Coturnix japonica: one gene and its partner. The protein of the gene in region 2 purifies or fractionates together with the protein of the main gene of each other region. This does not show direct contact. Links are inferred from orthologs where the notes say so. Each region holds a gene or a part of one and is shown on either strand. Other genes may lie near its edges.

Region 1 (4,098 bases), on a different chromosome or scaffold from region 2:
ATCATATTCCTCAACACCACATCCAAACGTTTCTTGAACACTCCCATGGTTGGTGACTCCACCACCTCCCTGGGCAGTGCATTCCAATGCCTGACTACCCTTTCTGAGAAGTAATACTTCCTAATGTCCAGCCTGAATCTCCCCTGGCGCAGCTTAAAACCATTCCCTCTAGTTCTATCATCGATTACATGAGAGAAGAGGCCAACCCCCAGCTCACTACAACCTCCACTCAGGTAGTTACAGAGAGCTATAAGGTCTCCCCTGAGCCTCCTCTTCTCCAGGCTGAACAATCCCAGCTCCCTCAGCCGCTCCTCGTAAGGCCTGTGCTCCAGACCCATCACCAGTTTTGTTGCCCTCCTCTGAACACGTTCCAGGGCCGCAATGTCTTTCTTGCAGTGAGGGGCCCAAAACTGAACACAGTAAATGCTTCCACAATGACCATAGCAAACAAAAAGGCGGCACTTTCCAGACCTGGCTTCTCAGTCACCAAATTCCATTATGCGCAGAGCTTTGATTTGCTGTACTCTGGAACTTTATGGGTACAGAAACACAGTGCAGCTGTTAGAATCTTCACTGCAAAAAAGCCACCTACCTATGCTGTTTGTAGAGCTGCACCACATGAGCAGGAAACCAATACATATTAAATTTATAGCACCGAACAGCAGGATCTTCCAGGACTGTTGAGGAGAATAAACACATATTTTACATCTTCCAAGATTCACAAGACAAAAACATACCTATCTTGTTGTAAAAAACCACAACATTGTAGCATTTCATCGTGCAAGCAGTACTACCTGTGTCTCACCCAAAAACATGCAATTCACTTTAGGGTAACAATCTCATGTTCTATTTTCATTGTACAGATTGTCCCCAAACTCATTTTCCATCAGCATTGCATATTATGCTTAAAACATTTTTGGTGTGAAAAAACATCCCTCCGCATCTAATTGCAACACATTCTTCCTGAATGTTAAAGACAGAATTATAACAGCTTTCTATTTCCTGCCCTCCCTTCTGACAGAGAAGTACAGATCTAAGTGGGTTTTTTTCTTAATGCTAGAACTTTGACCCCAAAAACACCTGTACAGCTTTGGCTTACAGTTCTACCTAATGCATTAAACATAAGCACAACTCTGGGGAAAATTAATTATCAGGGACAGGCCATAGGACTCCAACTTAACAGAAAGTACAACTCCATTTAAAGACAGAAAGGCATCGTTACTATTCACAGTGCTGATAATAATGAGATATCTGTACACTCTGGTGTATTTACAGCAGACAGCATCACTACGATAATCTTAATACCTGATGCATGAGCTCAATGTGAAACTAAGTTTAAAACACTGCCACTTTTTAAAAGAAGTACAGCTACTTTAAAAAGATATTTCCAACAATTTGCTTAAATTAATAGTTCATCTCAACATTTCACAGCTAATAGCTTTATTATTTATTTATCAAAAGAAATACTCACCCTTCTATCTGCTGCAACCAGCCTAAACTCATGTGTTAACTTTCCAACCAACGATCTCTGTGATTTGCGGAACAGGTGGATTGTCCCCTTAAGAAAGTTAAAGGTTAATTTAATATTTGACTCAACCCCCCGGTTTAGATTTAAAACAAAACAAAACAACCTTCACTTATGAACTATTTCAAAGCTCACTGTGATTCAATGATATCACAGAATCACAGAATTGCAGGGGTTGGAAGGGAGCTCTAGAGATCATCGAGTCCAACCCCCCTGCCAAAGCAGGCTCCCTACACCACGTCACACAGGTAGGTGTCCAGGCGGGTCTTAAATATCTCCAGAGAAGGAGACTCCACCACCTCCCTGGGCAGCCTGTTCCAGTGCTCCGTCACCCTCACTGTAAAGAAGTTCTTCCACACATTCGTGCGGAACTTCCTATGCTGTACTTTCATCCCATTACCCCTAGTCCTGTCCCCACGCACTACTGAAAAGAGACCAGCCCCACCACTATGGCTCCCACACCTCAGGTATTTATAAACCTGGATCAAGTCTCCTCTCAGCCTTCTTTTCTCAAGGCTAAACAGACCCAGTTCCCTTAGTCTCTCCTCATAGGGGAGATGCTCCAGGCCCTTCACCATCTTAGTAGCCCTCTGCTGGACTCTTTCCAAGAGATCCCTGTCTTTTTTGTACTGGGGAGCCCAGAACTGGACACATATAATTAAAGTTAAATTCAACGGTGCCTCTCAATAACATGTTCTGTTTCCACAAGACTACGGCTGGCTTAGAACCAAGCCTCATATTGACACAGAGCAGAATTCACGACAGGAGAGGTGTTTCCAAGCCGGTCACCTAACCAGCCTCACTCAGCTGACAGACACGCCTGTCAATACAGCCGTGTTTCACGCCGCTCTCAGTACCTGCAGGCACACCCACGTTTGGGTCGGTACCACAAGTAGATCGCAGTACTACAGACTGCAAATACACGTTCCCCGAGGCGAAAGCAAAGCACTTACTGCGCTGTCTCCAGGCAAATCACTACCGAACCCCCCAGGACACCAAGGAGCGCCCCCACCTGCTGCAGTGTCCGTGGAGATCCGACCCGACCCGGTAAGGAAAACACGGGCGGCCACGTCACCGCGGGCCCGGCGGGGCTGCCCCGGGAGCGGGGCGGGAGGCGCCACAAGGGGGGGATGAGAGACGACGCGCTCCGAGCTCGGAGCTGGAACCCCCCGGCCCGCCCGGGAGCCGCCTCCCCGCCCTCACAGCTCCCCGCTCACACCCGCCGCAACCGGCCCGTCCCTCCCTGTCGCGTCCAGCTCACCATAGTACTGCCCGCACCGGAAGAGACGGCGCCATGCGAGGCCGGAAGAGGCGGAGGGGGCTGCCGTCACTGTGGCAACCTGCAGAGCCTGCGGGGCGACAGCGGAACTGGATGTGACGGCAAAGGAAGCGCGCCCCTAGGGCGGGGACACCAGGCCTTACCCCGCCCTGCTGCACCACACAGCGATATCCGGATAGTCACGGATAGCAGCACTTGCCTATATTAGTACTAAGAACTTGACTCAATAAGAACTTGACTCAAGTCCTTTAGAAACTAAATGAGGTATTGACGTATTTATTGTTCCATCATCCAGCAGGCACAACACCTGACTTGATTCATTTATTAAAGCAGTAACAACTTAATCAGATTGAGGTTTAATAAGAAGGGTTGCAGCTTTGGGCGTTTTAATCTGATAAACAGACGAGAGCAGTAAGAAAAGGATAAATGCAACATTTTATTGTGAAGCTGACGCTGTGTGAGTGCTCACCACGCTGCCTTACATTGCTTATTAATGAAGCCATGTTTAACATTCCACAAAATGTTCTTTAGGGAACACTGAGGCATAAGACCCTCAACACAACCAAAGACAAGCATCAGCTCTGTCTCAAACCAGAGTTATTCACTGTATTTAACAGGGTAGGGGACAGCAATTTGCCTCCACCTTCTGCTTGTGTCACTTAAATCCAGACTTCTGAAAAAACTGACTAGCCCTTCACATGAATGAGGATTTGAATTGTGACAGTTTCCATGTTCTCAGCCCCCTTGATAGGTACACAAGCATTACATCAAGTACTTCTCACTTCCAATGGCAAAAACAAAAACACCCTGCAGAACTGAGACCACATCTTAAGCATCCTGAAAGAATAAACCTGTATTAACCAAGTACGAAGAAAGTCAATCTTCAAAGTCAGCCTCTGAAACAGAACTTTTAGAAGTGTTTCTTATGGAGACAAAGTCTAATCACCAAACTAACAGACAATTGCAAATCAAAAAGACGAAACTGACCAGTACCGACAGAATTGCAGTGTTTAACCGATACATTTAGATACAGTGGAGGAGGGTCTACCTTGTCAATTATTGCTGAACTCAGGAGGTAGTTACTGACAAAATAAACAGTTTACATCATGACAGCTTACAATTTACAAGAGAAGCAGAAAGAATATAACACACATCTGCCTGTACTTTAGATGATTCTGCCTTTGTAGGAAGCTAGTTTATGTCTGTGTCCTGTTGAAGTTACAGTACTTAAACTCTTTATGTATTGGTCATCTCTTAAGATGACCATGGAAACTCAAGTAGGTGAGTAAAACAA
Region 2 (3,646 bases):
TCTGCTCCATCACATCTGACACCACTTGCACATGTATCGTACCTGCCACAACACTTGCAGAATGACACCAAAAATGAGGATCTCTGTAGGATATGACTCCATCTATTTTCTGAATCTGTGAAGAATTTACATGATTTTCATGAACACATTTTAAATTTGCACATGTACATGCACACTGATAACTAATACTCCACAGGAAAACAAAGCTGCATTTCCAGCTAAGTGACAGAGAAATAACGTAGCACCTGGAGGCCAACGTGCTATTGTCAGATACCAGATGTTACAACCCAAAGAAAACCAAGCAGAGGGCAAAATGAAAAGGGTTGACTTAAACACAACTGCAGGAGTCTCAGTAACATCTATGGACAGATCAACTTTGGCCTGCACTTTAAGTCACTTATAGGGTATCTGTCACATTGTTATTCAGGATAGGTAACTGTACAGTTACCACAGCTGTACGTTTTCCAGAAACATATTTCCATAATTCATCATTTTTAGAAATTGATCACTGCACTGGGCCTGGTAGGGACATAGCAGCCTGCATGATATTCTGTTCTGGATTCATAGCTAAAACAGTGTTGATAACATGCAGTTTTTTTGACTGCTGAACACAGGTTGTAGATTCTGGGCAGCCTGCTCTAGCTTTTACCTAGCAGCTGGCCATCCTGCCTGTGGCAAGGGAGTTGCAAGTAGGTGATCTCTGAGGTTCCTTCCAACCCCAGACATTCTATGACTCTATGGTCAAGAGTTCCTCTTTTTCCCAACCTTGATCCAACACAGCAAGTCTTCTATGGGTGCACCAGAAACTAGGAAGAGACACAGCAGGGACAGCTGACCCAGGTGGCCCAGAGAGCTGTTTTCTACAGTACAACAACATAAAAAAGACTGGGATAGAAGAACTGACCTTTTCTAAAGCAGCATGCAGATCTTTCTCTTGTTCTGGAGGTATCCTCAACAAAAGCACTTGACAGGCGTCTTTCAGTAGTGGGATAACACTGAGAAAAATCAGTGTAGCAATAAAAAGAGAGCAGAGGGGATCAGCTATCAGCCATCCAAATTGCTGAATAAATGTGGTAGACACTATAACACCCACACTGCCAAGAGTGTCTGCTAACACATGCAGAAACACACCTGAAAACAAAACATATTAAGAGATTAAGAGGAACACCGCTGCTTAAGATGAATATAGATGTTCATTAGCAACAAATTCACTTTTATGACATTGGCCTCCCTCAAGCACCTGCCTAACCTGCTGCAGAATGAATCAAAACATTCAGTTTAAGTAGTATTTAATTAGAAATCAACATTGGTAGGAAGTACACTTCAGTAATCTAGGCAGACATTTACAGATGAAGCCACATACAAACGCAGTCTTATTTAGTTCGTGGGACTTGTATAATAGGGATCAGTCCTTATTGATCTTCAACAGAATAGAAAAAGATCACTGTGAATGCACTGGGCTGCTCGTACTGACAGGTATTAATCTACCATTTGTTTTTCTACAGCCTAACTCTGCTCAAAGTTTTAAGAAGATTGTCTACATACTCTAAGAATAATTCTTTTACTGCTTTAATGGCTGGCATCATTCCCAGTGTAAACTCAGACACAGTATAGAAAAAAAATATCTCTAGTCACTTGTAAGACTAGTACTTACTGACTGCCAGGATTTAAAAGAATGCTGAACAGTGTTAGAGATGGGCAGATATTACAATATAATGCCTGAAAACAGAAGAATCATCTTAACTAATGACTGATGGAAAGTAATCTATGAAACAGAAGAAGACTCTTAGCTAAAATGCATATGCTCTGACAAGCTTACACAAAAGTTCATTCTTTTATAGACTTGTATAAGTGATGTAGTTGGTAAAGAACTGCCTTCTAACTGGTAGGGAAGAAGAGTCTCAAGAAGTAGCTGTTCTAAAATTATCTCTATACATTGCCCTTCTCAGCTTCCAATTTTAGATCTGGAAAAAAAATTCATCTTTACCACCTTATCTTCTGAATCACAAATAGAAGCATAATGCTTCATATCCCAGACTGATAGTCTGCATTTGCTCTTCTGCTTCTTTATCACTTCCCCCAGGGCTTTCACAACCAGCTGTAACATGATACCCAGAAGTATGGCATTAGCTTTACAGACAGAGACATACTACTTGCATTTTGAGATGGCCCCTGGACTTAGTAATGATAGCTTCAATTTTTGTTCAGTAAGGTTTTCGATGACTAAGGTTATTAATGTTAATAGAGACTGAAGATTAATGCTTTGCATTGATCCTTGGGTATCACCCACGTCTCAGAAAGCCATGTGAAAAAATAATTCAAGTTAAACTCACTTATGAATGAACACTTTGAGAAATAAATGTATGCAATATTCTGGAGGGAGATTTCAAGAACGATACGCAGTACTGGGGTTAAAACTTAAAAACACCAAAGTCTGCTATAGACCAGATCTGTCATTTATGATTCAACAATCCATACTTGCCTCTCATGTTGGTATTCATGCCTCCTCCTGCAGACACATGGGAATGTCCATGGCTGTGCCCATGGTCATTGTGGGAATGGCCATGCCCATGACTGTGGCTGTGTCCATGGTAAGAATGGCTGTGCTCATGTGAATGACAGCCTCCACGAGAAGCCCCATGGGAATGTGCATGGCTAAAGGCACAGATGCCAACCAGGTTTACGATCAACCCTCCAACAGAGACTGGCTGTGAGAGAGAGAGAGGTATCAGATGTCACTACATATTCCAATCCAAAATCCCACCCAGCTGCTCACACCAAAACGTAGCACCCGATACCCACACAGCATGAGAAGGTGGTAACTTAAGTTTCAAGTAGGAGATTGTTGTTTTTATTTACTTCCAGAAAGAGAAAGTGGTTTGGCTACAAACTTTGTGTTGCCCTCATTCATTGGCAGGAAAAAAAAGTATATAAATCTACTTAAAACATGCATAAGCAGCTAAAATTGTAGTTATCTGAAGATATCCACTTCCACTTTACTGGTCGTGATTTTTCTCTCCCTGCATTTTCTTCCACTCTTCTCTTTAAAAACATGTGATCTGCAATAGAGTTATTTTAGCTAATCCACTAGTTAAGCAAATACTACTCAGGGGCTACCAGGCCTTAAGTTAAGTCAGGCCTTATATCCAGCAATGCATACATCTAATTTTACCTATACAAAAATCTTTGTTAACCAAATGGCTAGAAGAGAGCACAAATTCATGTGTGGGGGGGAGAATAACACAAATGAAACCACAAGTATGATAACTGGGGGCTCAGACGGTCAGAATTCTATGATTTAAAAATTTGGTTTGAAGAAAATAAATGGTAAGAGTTTGGAAGAAAGCAACAAAAGCCTGAAAACTTGCCTAGGGCATGGAAAGTGGTGAGATACGGGCACTGTTATGTTTCATGAGTACTTGTGCCATAGCATAAGTATGGTAGATAGTGATTGTATCATCACTATCACATTACAAATCCTGACTAACTTTTGACATTTCTGAGAGAAAAACACAAAAGCTTTTTTGCAGTGACTGACACTGGTATACACAAAGCAGAGCCAAGTTTAGTCTTGTACAGATTACTTTCTCAGTTTCTATTTTTTGCTGTTGTTGACGGCCATTTAAAAAGATCAGAGTTTTAACAT

Evidence for each region.
Region 1: the proteins of SLC30A5 (region 2) and SLC30A6 purify together in Homo sapiens (co-immunoprecipitation; 5 studies listed by BioGRID and IntAct, with this or other methods). This does not show direct contact. The link is inferred for Coturnix japonica from reciprocal best matches to the Homo sapiens genes SLC30A5 and SLC30A6.

The regions. Positions count from the first base shown.
Region 1 is NC_029518.1:30,258,101-30,262,198, forward strand, and holds the start of SLC30A6 (zinc transporter 6), read right to left. Parts: upstream 2,933-4,098; 5' UTR 2,822-2,932; coding exon 2,804-2,821; exon of another isoform or gene 2,790-2,803; coding exon of another isoform or gene 2,787-2,789; intron 2,648-2,786; exon of another isoform or gene 2,479-2,647; intron 1,559-2,478; coding exon 1,472-1,558; intron 678-1,471; coding exon 593-677; intron 1-592. UniProt on the Homo sapiens protein: Has probably no intrinsic transporter activity but together with SLC30A5 forms a functional zinc ion:proton antiporter heterodimer, mediating zinc entry into the lumen of organelles along the secretory pathway.
Region 2 is NC_029547.1:13,195,076-13,198,721, forward strand, and holds part of SLC30A5 (zinc transporter 5), read right to left. Parts: intron 2,709-3,646; coding exon 2,483-2,708; intron 1,132-2,482; coding exon 905-1,131; intron 116-904; coding exon 1-115. UniProt on the Homo sapiens protein: Together with SLC30A6 forms a functional proton-coupled zinc ion antiporter mediating zinc entry into the lumen of organelles along the secretory pathway.